Linked DNA regions of Arabidopsis thaliana. The protein of the gene in region 3 purifies or fractionates together with the protein of the main gene of each other region. This does not show direct contact. Each region holds a gene or a part of one and is shown on either strand. Other genes may lie near its edges. The genes, in order: AAC3, ATP5 and ATP3.

What was found.
Region 1: the proteins of ATP3 (region 3) and AAC3 fractionate together in Arabidopsis thaliana (co-fractionation; one large-scale study listed by BioGRID). This does not show direct contact.
Region 2: the proteins of ATP3 (region 3) and ATP5 fractionate together in Arabidopsis thaliana (co-fractionation; one large-scale study listed by BioGRID). This does not show direct contact.

The regions. Positions count from the first base shown.
Region 1 is NC_003075.7:14,040,688-14,045,159, reverse strand, and holds AAC3 (ADP/ATP carrier 3), read left to right. Parts: upstream 1-1,812; 5' UTR 1,813-1,959; intron 1,960-1,975; exon of another isoform or gene 1,976-2,117; intron 2,118-2,350; 5' UTR 2,351-2,378; coding exon 2,379-2,849; intron 2,850-2,927; coding exon 2,928-3,299; intron 3,300-3,377; coding exon 3,378-3,674; 3' UTR 3,675-3,872; downstream 3,873-4,472. Other genes in the region: A7 (Bifunctional inhibitor/lipid-transfer protein/seed storage 2S albumin superfamily protein), read right to left, coding at 432-474, 596-765, 840-1,169; AT4G28380 (Leucine-rich repeat (LRR) family protein), read left to right, coding at 4,229-4,472.
Region 2 is NC_003076.8:4,309,699-4,313,673, forward strand, and holds ATP5 (delta subunit of Mt ATP synthase), read right to left. Parts: upstream 2,369-3,975; 5' UTR 2,244-2,368; coding exon 2,148-2,243; intron 1,907-2,147; coding exon 1,859-1,906; intron 1,702-1,858; coding exon 1,458-1,701; intron 1,367-1,457; coding exon 1,254-1,366; intron 1,173-1,253; coding exon 1,086-1,172; intron 989-1,085; coding exon 860-988; 3' UTR 556-859; downstream 1-555. Other genes in the region: AT5G13440 (Ubiquinol-cytochrome C reductase iron-sulfur subunit), read right to left, coding at 144-324. UniProt on the Arabidopsis thaliana protein: Mitochondrial membrane ATP synthase (F(1)F(0) ATP synthase or Complex V) produces ATP from ADP in the presence of a proton gradient across the membrane which is generated by electron transport complexes of the respiratory chain.
Region 3 is NC_003071.7:14,018,109-14,023,195, reverse strand, and holds ATP3 (gamma subunit of Mt ATP synthase), read left to right. Parts: upstream 1-2,010; 5' UTR 2,011-2,148; coding exon 2,149-2,246; intron 2,247-2,647; coding exon 2,648-2,691; intron 2,692-2,802; coding exon 2,803-2,955; intron 2,956-3,154; coding exon 3,155-3,268; intron 3,269-3,350; coding exon 3,351-3,478; intron 3,479-3,589; coding exon 3,590-3,712; intron 3,713-3,811; coding exon 3,812-3,931; intron 3,932-4,020; coding exon 4,021-4,218; 3' UTR 4,219-4,586; downstream 4,587-5,087. Other genes in the region: RLP26 (receptor like protein 26), read right to left, coding at 1-1,326; RLP25 (receptor like protein 25), read left to right, coding at 4,856-5,087.

The DNA.
Region 1 (4,472 bases), on a different chromosome or scaffold from region 3:
CTCTGCTGAAGTCACTGGATGTATTTAATTAGGTTGTTGCCATTTACTCATCTGTTAAAAAACAAAATTTTAAACCACGTTCCTCTTTGTAAAAAGCTAAAAGCCTCGTTATGTTATCCGTTTGGCTATGTAATTATAAGTGTAGAAATGTCACGAGAGCCAGAAGTTTTGTCCTTAAGTTTTGATTCTTAATGGACAATTTTGGCATTTTTTGCTTCCCGTAATAATGGTTATTGTAAAAACTAAGAAATAGAAGAGAAGCCATATCTGATGAATATACATATATATAATCGCTTACAGAAAATTCTTCGTACTTTTGTAACACTAGTCACTATTACATCTACAATAAACTCGATTATATATCATTTGTAACTATATAGAACTGTTACAAGGCTTCCCTTCCCAATATTCATAGATATATATCCTGGTAGTTAATTTAATTTCTCAACGTCGGGATTCTTGGTGTTTCTGAACCTGTAATGACAAAATTATACCAGTTCATTAGTTCCTTTATGCACAAGGAAAAATGTAATATATAACATTTTCTTCTAGGAAAAGATTTTTAAAAAACTATGGAGAGAAGAATGAAAATAACTGAGAACAGTCCATATCAACGGAGATGGGAAAGCTGAGAGTAAGAGAACAACGGAGAGGAAGGTTATTAATAGCGGCGGGAAGAAAAGGAAGATGATTTGCATTTCCCATTATCTCAATGCACAGACACACTCTCTCTGTTTCTCCACTATCCTGCCTATTCCTCGATCCCTGCGTAGTTAATATAATTATAGATGGTGAAAGAAGAAACCGAAATAGAAGAATCGAGAATTAAGTCTAGTAACTGGAGACGTAAACTTGACGACGTTGTTCAAGTGGGTCACGCCTCTGCAGCAATCTGGAGAAGGTTGTTGAAATATTCCCTCGACGAAGCCCATGCAGGGCATGAAACTCACGAACACGTCTCTGCAATGTTCCAGCGGATTATTGTCCTGGGAAACGGCGGTCTTCATCAGGACCAAGAACGCTACTACCAATATGGCATGTATCTTCATTGAACTCAGTACACTAGCTAGCGAAGGTGATATATATGATTCGTGTACGAAGAGAAATCTATATCTATATATTATATATATAGTAATCAATTCGTTTCTAAGGTGGAGTTTATTATGCATGGCTTAGTTTAATGAACACATGTAGTTCTCATGTTTCCTTCTTACTCGGATGAATTCCAGCTGAGTTCTCTTTTAGTTTTCTTGAATCTTTTGAAATAATCTACCTACACATATTAAGGTTATTGCATGTAATTCGAGTTTATTTTATATCGCATGACATGTATGATGTGTCTTGTTATCTAATACATGAGCCGATATCATTGCCTATATTCTGGTACTCTCAATACGTATCGGTTTGTTTCATTGTTTGTAGAACATTTCTCTAACTAGTTTTGGATCACTAAATTCGAACCACATCACCTTCCTTGCATCTGTAAAGTTCTGTCCGGCTGAAGAAGAAAAAAAAGATTCAACTTTCTTTCTTGCTTCTTAAGTAACATCCAATTTTTTAAGACCTAGTTAACAAGCCTCTATTATATTTTTCCGGCAAACCAAAAAAGTCTTGATTATTGTTCTATTTTTCTATATTTAATTTTCAGGTAGATGAGACATATATCACATAATGATAAAGAGGTCTCTCACTTTCATTAGGTATGAATTTTATCTTCCTAGGAAAATAAATTTTGGGTCCATTTAGAAGAAGTCAAGACTCGGGTCCCTTAAAATTGGGCCCAGAAAGAAACGGGTCAAAGGAGTCCAGTAGCATTTTCGTAATTGTACCTTCTCTTCTGCTCAGTTTCGTCTTTTAGTTTAGGACCAGAAGTCGAGAATCATGTAGAAACCTACTCTTCTCGCAATTTTCCACAGCTCTCTCTCTCTCTCTCGTTAACGCTTCGGCGAAAAATCCACGGTAAGCTCTCGACTCCAGAAGTTCTAGCTTTATCATTAATGCTTCTCTCCTAGCTCTCTCTGTTTTTTTGTTCTGCTTCTCGTGAATTCTGTTTTCTCGACGCCACTCGTTGCTTGATCTTTTAGAAACAGAGGATTTAATTGAGCTGCTGCAACTAGGTTTTAATTTGTGCTAATTAGGTCGCATTATAGTTGACAGATTGAAATGGTGTCTTTAACGAAGCTAACTAGGATCGTATGAAATGTGTTGATGATGTCTTCTCTGTTTTTGTTCCAGTTTTGGTTATGATCATTCTTTTTTAAGCATGCAAATATAGAAATTTTCGAGAAAGCAAGATTTTGTGGTGTTTAATTTGTATTTTTGTTTTGTTTTGTTTTGTTTTGTTTTTCAGAGTCAGCTTTTACTGATTTGTACAAAAAATGGATGGATCAAAGCATCCATCAGTCTTTCAGAAGCTACATGGACAATCTTACTTGATCAATAGACTTTCTCCGAGTGTGCAAGCTCGTGGTTACTGTGTCTCTGGTGCTTATGTCAATGGAGGTTTGCAGAGTCTATTGCAGCCAACTAGCCATGGCGTTGGCTCGTCTCTTATACCTCATGGTTCATTTCCTGTATTAGCTCACGCTCCTAGTGAGAAAACTGGTACTGGTTTCTTGATCGATTTCCTTATGGGAGGAGTCTCAGCTGCTGTTTCGAAGACGGCAGCCGCGCCTATAGAGCGTGTGAAGCTCTTGATTCAGAATCAAGATGAAATGATCAAAGCTGGGCGTCTCTCTGAGCCATATAAAGGAATCAGTGATTGTTTTGCTCGAACAGTCAAAGACGAAGGAATGCTTGCTCTTTGGAGAGGAAACACTGCCAATGTTATCAGATACTTCCCCACTCAGGTTTGTTTTCTCTTCTTTGACGTGGTATTTGTATAGACGTCGAGATGGGTATGCTAAGCAAATAGTTTTGTTTTGCAGGCTTTAAACTTTGCGTTCAAAGATTACTTCAAGAGGCTGTTTAACTTCAAGAAAGAAAAAGATGGCTACTGGAAGTGGTTTGCAGGGAACCTGGCGTCTGGTGGTGCAGCTGGTGCATCATCTCTGCTTTTTGTGTACTCTTTGGATTACGCTCGTACCCGTTTAGCCAATGATGCGAAGGCGGCCAAGAAAGGTGGTCAGCGGCAGTTTAATGGCATGGTCGACGTGTACAAGAAGACTATAGCCTCTGATGGCATTGTCGGGCTTTACCGTGGTTTCAACATCTCATGCGTTGGAATTGTCGTGTACCGGGGGCTTTACTTTGGATTGTATGATTCCTTGAAGCCTGTGGTTCTAGTTGATGGTCTCCAGGTAAAAAACAAAGAAAACTCCTCACTTCAACATATTGAGTCCTCTGTTACTGTTTACTCATTGCTATAATCTGTACAGGATAGCTTCCTTGCTAGTTTCTTACTGGGATGGGGAATCACCATTGGAGCTGGATTGGCGTCTTACCCAATTGACACGGTTCGCAGAAGAATGATGATGACGTCAGGTGAAGCAGTGAAGTACAAGAGCTCTCTTCAGGCCTTCTCTCAGATCGTCAAGAACGAAGGGGCCAAGTCACTCTTCAAGGGTGCAGGTGCCAACATCCTTCGTGCGGTTGCAGGCGCTGGTGTACTGGCCGGCTATGACAAGCTCCAGCTCATTGTGTTGGGTAAGAAGTATGGCTCTGGTGGTGGCTAAACGATGAGGATGATGAAAGAATAGCCCTTGAGGTCTGTGAATGAATAAAGCAGTGTGTCCGTTCGTATAAATGTTGCTTTTAGAATATAGAGTGTCTCTGTCAAGTTGTGGCCCTTTGTCTTAGTTCTATACTTCTATGACTTTTGTTGACAAAAGAATAAATACAAAGAAAACCAATACCATGTTTATGTTTTTTGTAGTTAAAACAGTTTTAGTGAATATTATCAGTTAAAAAGTCAACATAAGCTGAGAGATCAAAAGAACTTTAAATGTATGGTTATGCGAAAGTTTGTATAATTCAGATTCGGTTTCCTTGGGTTGTAAGCGAATGAGTGATCTAAGTCCAACACTAAGATTTGGTCTTCAAATGTGTCAGTCTCAAATCCCACTTCAAACCACTCCAGACAGCTACAAGTAAGGAGTTAAGTCCTTTTCCTTGATCTTATACCACTACCTGATTCATCCTCTGTAATCGTTGCACCAAAGACCAAACTTATTGTCTTTATATATAAATCCACCACACTTAAGACAAAGGATCCATAACTTGTCTTTGAATGGCTCTCTCTATAACATTTCCTGTCCTTATCTCAGTTCTTCTTTATCATTTCTCTTTAGTATCAACAGCAAAACATAGCCTTCACCACCACACAAGTCACTCCACAAACCCTAAACAGCATCTTCAGCAAGCGTACCGTGCACTTAAAGCATGGAAGAAGGTAATCTATTCTGATCCAAAGAACTTAACTGCAGATTGGGTCGGTCCCTCAGTCTGCAGCTACACTGGCATCTTCTGTGCCC
Region 2 (3,975 bases), on a different chromosome or scaffold from region 3:
AGATACGAAACTAGGAATCTCAATCATTTCCGGACTTATACAAGCCCAAAAGAGGTGACTTTTAAAAATTTATGAATCATTCAATGGATAACACCAGAAATGAAAATCAATCGAGAGACAGAAAGAGTTGTAGATCGGCAGACCTCTTATAACGCTCCGGTGGTAAGAATTGAAAGATGAGAGATCTGCAGAGGGGACAGATCTAGAAGCGGAAGAGGAGTTGCCTCCATCGGAAAGGGTATGGTCACGGGAAAGGACGAAGGAGGTCGCCGTCGATGATCTCTGCGAAACAGAAAAAAGCCTCCTTCCTGCTACTCGCAGCATCTCTGCTCAAATGGGTTAAGACCGATTCTAGGGTTTCGCTCAAAGCAAGAACACACAATCGTAAGGTTAGAGATGGCCGATGCAAACAAAAAGATTAGTCCTTTACCAAAAAAATGTTTTTTTTTCTTCTTTGCGGATATTCCTTTAATAGTCTTCGAGAAATCGTCAATTTGGTTTTTTTACTATTAATACTGAAGAGAACAATGACGGTGTTCTAACATGATAATTATGTAGCTTCGTGGCATCTTAATGTTCATTCGTGAGTATGAATAAGCTACTTGGGCATAGTTTGTAGATTTATTTACCAAATTAGCCCAACGATTCAAATCTAAACAAAAACAATCTCATTGAAATTTGATGTCTCGAAAAGCTTTATTTCGAAGCAAACAACAATATGTAAAAAGCAAATGACAAAATTCAAAGGGAGAGAAGTGGCCAGCTATTATATTGTTTCCCAGGAGGGTCCATATTTATTTGTCAATTGGTGGCATTCATCACAAGCATGTTTTCTTGGGGGAAATTTCTCTCAAGATTTTCAGAGGTTGTTGAAGTCAACAGGTTCACGGAGGAGCCTCTCCATCTGTTGTGCCCTTGTCCTGATTGACATGTCCAACACCTTTTGTTGGAACTCTACGATTAGTCCACCGTAGATACTTGGATCAATCTACAAACACACATTACCACCATTGACATAGATGCTTATATCCATTTTATGGGTTACTAGAAAATCACAAGCCTTTGATGCATATCTGATTACATACCTTTTGTTCCACAGTGATTTTCTTCCCTGCTCCAATGATCTCCTGAAGCGTCTCAGTCAGTTCTTTCTCCTCAGCAGGGGGAAGCGGCTGTCCAAACCATATGATTAAATCCACAATACTGAGTTTATGGTTATTTAAGAGATAACAAGTATTGAGACTAAAGCTTACAATGACTGTGGTAACCAAAACTTTGACATCTCCCCTATGTGCGTTTGTCAGCTGCATAAATTTCTTCACAATGGCATCTAGGTTCTTCAGCTTTCCATTCTCAGCTAACAAAGCTGTTACAGAAAGCAAACAACTTTTAATATCAGCACAACAAGGTCAATCAAAATCATAAAAACAAGACAGTTTCAAACTTGAATTACATACAGAGGAAGTTCTTAGTGGGTTCGGCAAACTTTGCTTGATCACAAGCATCCCTAATAGCAGCCAATCTTGTCCCTCTAGGAACAGAGGGATCCTTTGTAAACTGAGCAAAAATAGGAGCTGTCTTCATTGCCTCAATCATCTCAGAAAGATCCGTCTCAATCTTTTCCAAGGAATTCATTTTCACAGCTGCAATGTATAGCCATGAAGCAAAGTTCCCATTTTCACCAACTAAAGCAATAGGCACCTGAAACAACAACAAGTATAAATCTAGATACACTTCCATTACATATTATACAAAATCCAGCTATCCGCGGTTCATCATTTATGCCAATCAAACAATTCAAGCCATTGTCGCGATTCTCGCATCTACAAAATAATACGATGGTGATAAAAGGGTGTACCTTAACATTAGCGGTTGTTTGAGCAGAAGCAGTTGCATAAGTTCTCAACTGCGATAGAAATATACAAACTTTAAAGATTGATTGATAGCATTCTCAGGAAAATAACAGAGATAGAGTTAAAAGACTTCCAAAACATCTAAAGCCGAGCAATGTAAGCGAGAAAACACGATAATCCCCATTCTATACTGTTATCAATCCAATTAGGCGATTGGATCGACTGATCTCGTAAGAATCGACTCCGAACAAAAAATTGGACTGAAAAGATTCGATTTTTAAGAATGCGAATTACCGCTGGGAAAAGCGACTTGGATCTAACGGAGGAGACAGAATCTGTTACGGCGATGGTCTTGAAGAAGGAGATCCCTGATCTGAAACGATTAGCCATTTTTGTTGCAGATAGATTTTGATTGGAACCCTAGAAATGTGCAAAAGTCGCTCAGCTGCTTTGTCGAGAGCAAAGAGATGAAACTGGTCAGAGGAAGAAAATAACTTAGTGCATTGGGCTTCACTGGGCTCATACTTATTTTATTGGGCTTATTACTACCTGTAGATAGTGGCAAATTTATGATAGTTAATTTGTTTTGCTCAGGTTTTTAGTGTTTTACCAAGTTTCAAATGTTATAGTGAGGTTATGTAATACACAACTTAACTCGTTTTTTTGTTGTAAACAAGATCTTGTAGATTATTATTTTGTATTATTGTTGATATATATATATATATATATATTCAAATTTAACTGTATATATGTGTATATGAAAAATATCATTTTTAATGTGTATTTGAACTCTACAATAATGTATTTTTCTCTATTTCAAAATAATTGATGTTCTAAAAAAATACTATTTTTCTTACGAATTAAGATGTTGTTCTCAATTTTCTATCCTACTATATTATTTGGGAAGTACTTTTTAAATGTAACCTTAATTTTTGTAAGTAATTACATAGGTATGCCATTAAAAATAAAATTTTAAAGAATAAATTAATTTATCTCTTTAAGGATTAAAAAGTTAAATACTAATTTAATTAATTAAATTTAATTTAAAAACGGAATATATTATTAATTTCCAAAAATAATAACCAATCAAAATCAACATATAAGATTTGATATCTAAATTTTAATTAATTTAATTTAATTAGAAAAATAAAATGCATTATTAATTTCCAAAAATAATAACCAATCAAAATCAACATATAAGATTTGATATCTAAATTTTAATTAATTTAATTTAATTAGAAAAATAAAATGCATTATTAATTTCCAAAAAAATAACCAATTAAAATCAACAAATTAGATTTGATATCTAAATTATCATATTAATTTTTTATTAATTATTATAGTTCACTTCTCATCTTTATATGATTCTATTTTTGCCGAAAAATAATATCATCATTATAAAAAAAATAATTAGAGTTTTTTCGCATATGTCATAATTTGAATTTTTAAAAACGAATATAAACTGTTCAATACATGAAAAATATTATAACGGATGAAAAATAGATTTAAGAAAACTTTCTACTGAGTAACGGGTCATAATTTGAAATATTTATATTCAATTTCATACATATTATATTGAAAATTTATAATCTTATATACTACAATAATTAATAACATATTAGATGTGATTCAATTTTTAATACAAGCTGGAAAATCCTAGAATTAACGGGTTTAGATCGATATTAATACAAGATGGTATACTACATGTCAAACTCTTAAATTAACAATCAAACTACAAGTGTATAATCTTAAACACTAAACAATATAGATAATATCAACAAAACATATACAACTCACAGTTTACTATACATTTAAAATCAAATAAAATAATATCATATATTTTTAAATCATCTTTACAATAAAAGTTTTTAGTTTAACTAAAATATAAGCCTACTTGCGGTATACTGCAGGTTAAAATCTAGATTATAGGGCTTATTGGATCTAAAGACGGGTCATCAAAGATTTCCTAAACTGAAGCAAAATATACTGAATATTCAAATATCTATCTATTATCAAATTATAAACAAATAAGTTCGTAAACAATTTAATATTTTATTTATGAAATCAATTAAATCTTAATCACATAAAAATTAGCACAAAAAAAAATATTCAATAATTAAAA
Region 3 (5,087 bases):
GTCAGGTATACTTCCTTCCAAGCTGTTCTTCCTGAGGTTTACTACTTTTAAGTTACTCAGACATTGAGGAATTGGACCGGTGAATTTGTTGTAGGATAGATCAAGGACGATGAGAGAGCTTCGGTTGCAGATTGAGAGAGGTATGTTCCCTGTGAAACTATTGTTCCACGCAGACAAGTAGATCGAACCGAGTGGTGGAGTAGGAAACGCTCCTGTCATGGAGTTATAGGCAAAATCTAGTAACTGCACTGATGAGTTAAGTAAAACTTCTGAAGAACCTTCGAAACCAGTCAAAGAATTGTTAACAAGATTTGCTATGCTAAGACGAGGAAGCTTCCAAAACCACTCAGGTACTTTCCCTTTGATTAGATTGTTGGAAATGTCTATATGCTCCAAGTTTTGAAGGGTCTTAAAGATGTTTGGAAACTCGATAATGTCGCACTGGATCAAAATCAAGCTTATTAAGCTCAATGGAAACTCTGAATCTGAACTTAAACTGGCTGGTAATAACCTATTTTGACGAATATCAAAGACCAACAAAGATTTGAGAGGAGCGAAGACGCGTAAGTCAATTGGGTGACTTATGTTTAGGGAAGCAAGTTCAAGATGGTTGAGGTTTATGAGCTTTGAGATAGGCTCTATGATTTTTCCTTCAAATTGGTTAAACCCAAGGGACAAACGAACTAGCTTAGATGAAGAAGAAGAGTTTGGGACATCAATAGAACCAGTGAGATGATTCTTTTTCAGATCAAGATAAGACAAGAAAGGCAAAGTGGGTAGTAAATCAAAAGGTATGGCTCCTGAGAATTGATTGTAAGAAAGGTCTAAAAAGGAAAGCTTTGTTAGGTTTCTTACAGGTGGGAAACTACCAGTGAGCTCATTATGGGAAAGGTTTAAATGGGTAAGCAAGATAAGGTTACTAATTGAGGAAGGAACTTGACCAGTAAAGCTACTAGAGGCAAGAGACAAAACCTCTAATCTGGTGAGATTGCTGAATTCAGAAGGGAGTGAAGAGGAAGTGAAGTTGTTGTGAGAGAGATTAAGGTAACGAAGCTGATGCAACTCAAAGAGACTACTGTTTGGTTTGAGAGTTCCAGTGAAGCAACCACTTGGGAGCTGAAGCTTCGTGACCGCACCAGTCGTGTTATCACACTGGACTCCGTTTAAGTAGTCACTGCGGTTGCAGCCGTCAGATTCAAACTCATTCTTGAATTGGATTAGAGCTTGGATCTGGTCAGGAAGACAAGCAAGAGCGTCGGTCGTCAAGAAGCTTGAAACGAAGACGATACAGTAGAGTAAGAGTAGCGAGCAAAAATGCAAACGCATGGTGTTTGTGATTGAACCAACAAGTTGAGGAAATTATTGAACCCAAAAAAAGACATATCAAAGATTTGCTATATATATGTTATTTTAAGCCGCCTTTACTAAATATGTGGGGTTTAAATGTCACGTGAAATGTCTACGAGTCACATTTGTTCATGAAGTAAATTCCACGTGGACATCTCTGACTATATAACTGGGAGTTATAGTTGACTGTTAAAATTGGCTTCAAAATTTAGCAACAAGAGGAAATCAACACTCAGCAATTTACTCTCATTGGATCAAATGAACGCACATTAATATGACGTAACGATGATGACAATTCTGTTTAATAGTATCTTATTGTTTACAGATACAGAAAAATAAATTAAGTGGGCCTTTCAATAATTAATAGGTTGGTGAAATGTTACCTTCTCTTGATATTTTTTTAATTTTCATTTATTATGAGTATGTTGCGTTATGAAACAACTCGCATTAATTTGGTTATAGATTGGAGAAAGAAGAAGTCATGGTCAAAACTCAAAAATGTAAAAGGAAACAAGACGTGTATGACGACGTGATTGATAATCTGAGGAGATACCTTTGGGCCTTATAAGATGGGCCGAAAAAGTAATAGTATTAGCCTCTATTCGGCCCGATTAATTTCAGGGGAAATTTTGGTAATAAAGTGGAAACGACGTCGTGACAAAACTACTGTGTAGACTGAGAAATAAAGAAGCCCTTGATTTTGCCCATTGCAGTCATCTCTCTCGAATCTCTCTCTATAATCCGATCTGAGAAATTTCGCCGGAGCTAGGTTTTGTTGTTTACCGATCAATCCTTTAATCAATGGCAATGGCTGTTTTCCGTCGCGAAGGGAGGCGTCTCCTCCCTTCAATCGCCGCTCGCCCAATCGCTGCTATCCGATCTCCTCTCTCTTCTGACCAGTGAGATCTCTTTCTCATTCATCTTATCCTTGCGTATAAACACACATTTCGCTGTTCCTCTGTGATGCTTTTCTGAATTTGAAATCGTTTGATTTAATTGAGTCGTTGATGTTTTCATTTCCTTGAAATTCGAATCGACGAAAATTTATGGAAATTGTGTTGTTTGACTCGGGAGCTGCTAATGAGTGAGGTGTTTTTGTTCGTCTATTTGGAGTTTTGAGACTCGGAAATGTCCTGTTAAGCTCGTTTCGTTGAATTTCCTATTGCAAGACCAATTTGATTTTCCTCGTAGAAGAGACTTTGTGATATGTTGTCTAAGCTCGTCAGATTTAATCAGCTTTTACCTGCAAAACTTTGTGATATTTAGGATGATGAGGACTAAACTTGTATTTGATTTGTAGGGAGGAAGGACTTCTTGGAGTTCGATCTATCTCAACTCAAGTGGGTAAGTCAAAGCTGATAATTGGAGATTGGTTTTACCTAGTTAGGATTGTGTTCTAAGAAATCTGTGATGTTCTAATCTTTATGAATTGCTTTACATGTATTCTCTGTGCAGTGCGTAACCGCATGAAGAGTGTTAAGAACATCCAAAAGATCACAAAGGCAATGAAGATGGTTGCTGCTTCCAAGCTTAGAGCAGTTCAAGGCCGAGCTGAGAACTCCCGTGGACTTTGGCAGCCATTTACTGCACTTCTAGGAGATAATCCCAGTATGGTTGGCTATATAGAGTTGTTTTTCTTAATAACTTTGTTCTAGTATCACTCCGGGCTTGCATCGGTATTGAATATTGATGACGACGAACAAATCTGTTGCTCTTACTATAGTCTGAGATATCCATCCTCTTGCTATCTCTTGTTGTTATTGTGGATGTGTTTCTGATTTCTAGCGTTACTTGATGGAAAAACCAGGCATTGATGTAAAGAAGAGTGTGGTGGTCACTCTCTCTTCTGACAAGGGTCTCTGTGGTGGAATCAACTCCACTGTCGTTAAAGTGAGCAGGGCTCTGTACAAATTGAATGCTGGTATGTTTGAAAACACTACGATGGTTCCGTGGTTTAGTTTTCCTGAATTGCATATCCGATATTAATTCTTATATCATTGCAGGTCCTGAAAAGGAAGTTCAGTTTGTTATTGTCGGAGAGAAAGCAAAGGCTATAATGTTTCGTGACTCAAAGAACGACATTGTCCTCTCTGTAACAGAGCTGAATAAGAACCCACTCAATTATGCTCAGGTAGTTCTTAGTTGCTAATAGTTAGGAGCAATAGTTTCTCTCCCCGATCCATTTGTTCTCGAGCTATTTATTGTTGTCTATAGTGTTTCTTATGTTTACTTGCTGCTTCAGGTGTCAGTTCTAGCTGATGACATCCTGAAGAACGTTGAATTTGATGCTTTGCGCATTGTCTACAACAAGTTCCATTCAGTTGTCGCATTTCTGCCAACTGTGTCCACTGTTTTGTCACCTGAGGTAAGTCATAACTGTTGAACGTCTCAATTTGTGCTTAATATTTCACATTCTGCTTTAAGTATAAACTTGATTGTATATGTGTGTGTTTTGCATTGAAAGATTATTGAGAAGGAGTCTGAAATTGGAGGAAAACTTGGCGAGCTTGACTCATATGAGATTGAAGGTGGGGAAACAAAGGGAGAAATATTGCAGAATCTGGCCGAGTTCCAATTCTCTTGTGTAAGTAACCAAGAAAGTTTAACTTGATTTATGGTATTTCAGCATAGAAAGAAACATAACATTTTGGTTGTTTACGTAAATTCTACTAGGTGATGTTCAATGCGGTTCTGGAGAATGCATGTAGTGAGATGGGAGCAAGAATGTCTGCCATGGACAGCTCAAGCAGAAACGCAGGAGAAATGCTCGACCGTCTCACCCTCACATACAACAGGACTCGTCAAGCTTCTATTACAACAGAGCTTATTGAGATTATCTCTGGAGCTTCTGCTCTTGAAGCTGCTAAATAAGCCCATCCGTGTTAGTTCTCTTTTCTTCGCTTTGATATTTACCCCCACCTTGAAGGAGAAGAGTGTGTTAAAATTTTACTGAATCAGTTTCCTTTGCTGGCTTCTTGTTGAGACCTACCAATGTTTGCTCAACGATTTTTAATAAACATACCTGTAATTTCCAGCAGGATTTCGAATAATTGCATTAACATTTTGTTCTGATTCAGACTCGCTTCCTCCAGAGTCTGTAGTGTTGTTTTGTGCAAACACCATGTACTCCGGTTTATTTGATATTTTTTTACCTGAGCCAATATTTTGTCACTTCGCCAGGTTTTGAAGTTTGAAACTTTGAATAATCCCACAAACAAATCTAAACAATATATCCAATGCAGTGTATGTTGTCATGCTAGTGGATTTCTAGAATTTTGGAATTATGTATAAACAATCTGATGTTAGAAAGTTTAAACTGATGTGAATCCAATCATGTGAAACAAATTTTATGGCTCAATATCTCCTCTTGATCGAGGTCCACTAGGGTATCCAGAGCTGCGGATATTTGAGATATCTGGTAATAAATTTACCGGAGGCTTGCCACCAAATTATTATGAGAATTGGAAAGCATCATCACTCACGCTAAAATCAAGAAGGGGGTTTATATATGATATACACTAAGAATGCTTACGGTAGCATTTCTTATACCTATCAAGATTTTATAGATTTAAGATACAAAGGTCTACACATGGAGCAAAAGAGGATTCTTACTTTATACAGCGCTATTGATTTTTCCGGAAACAGACTTGAAGGACAGATTCCTGAATCCATTGGTCTCTTGAAGGCACTGATTGCACTCAACTTATCAAACAACGCTTTCATAGGTAATATTCCCATGT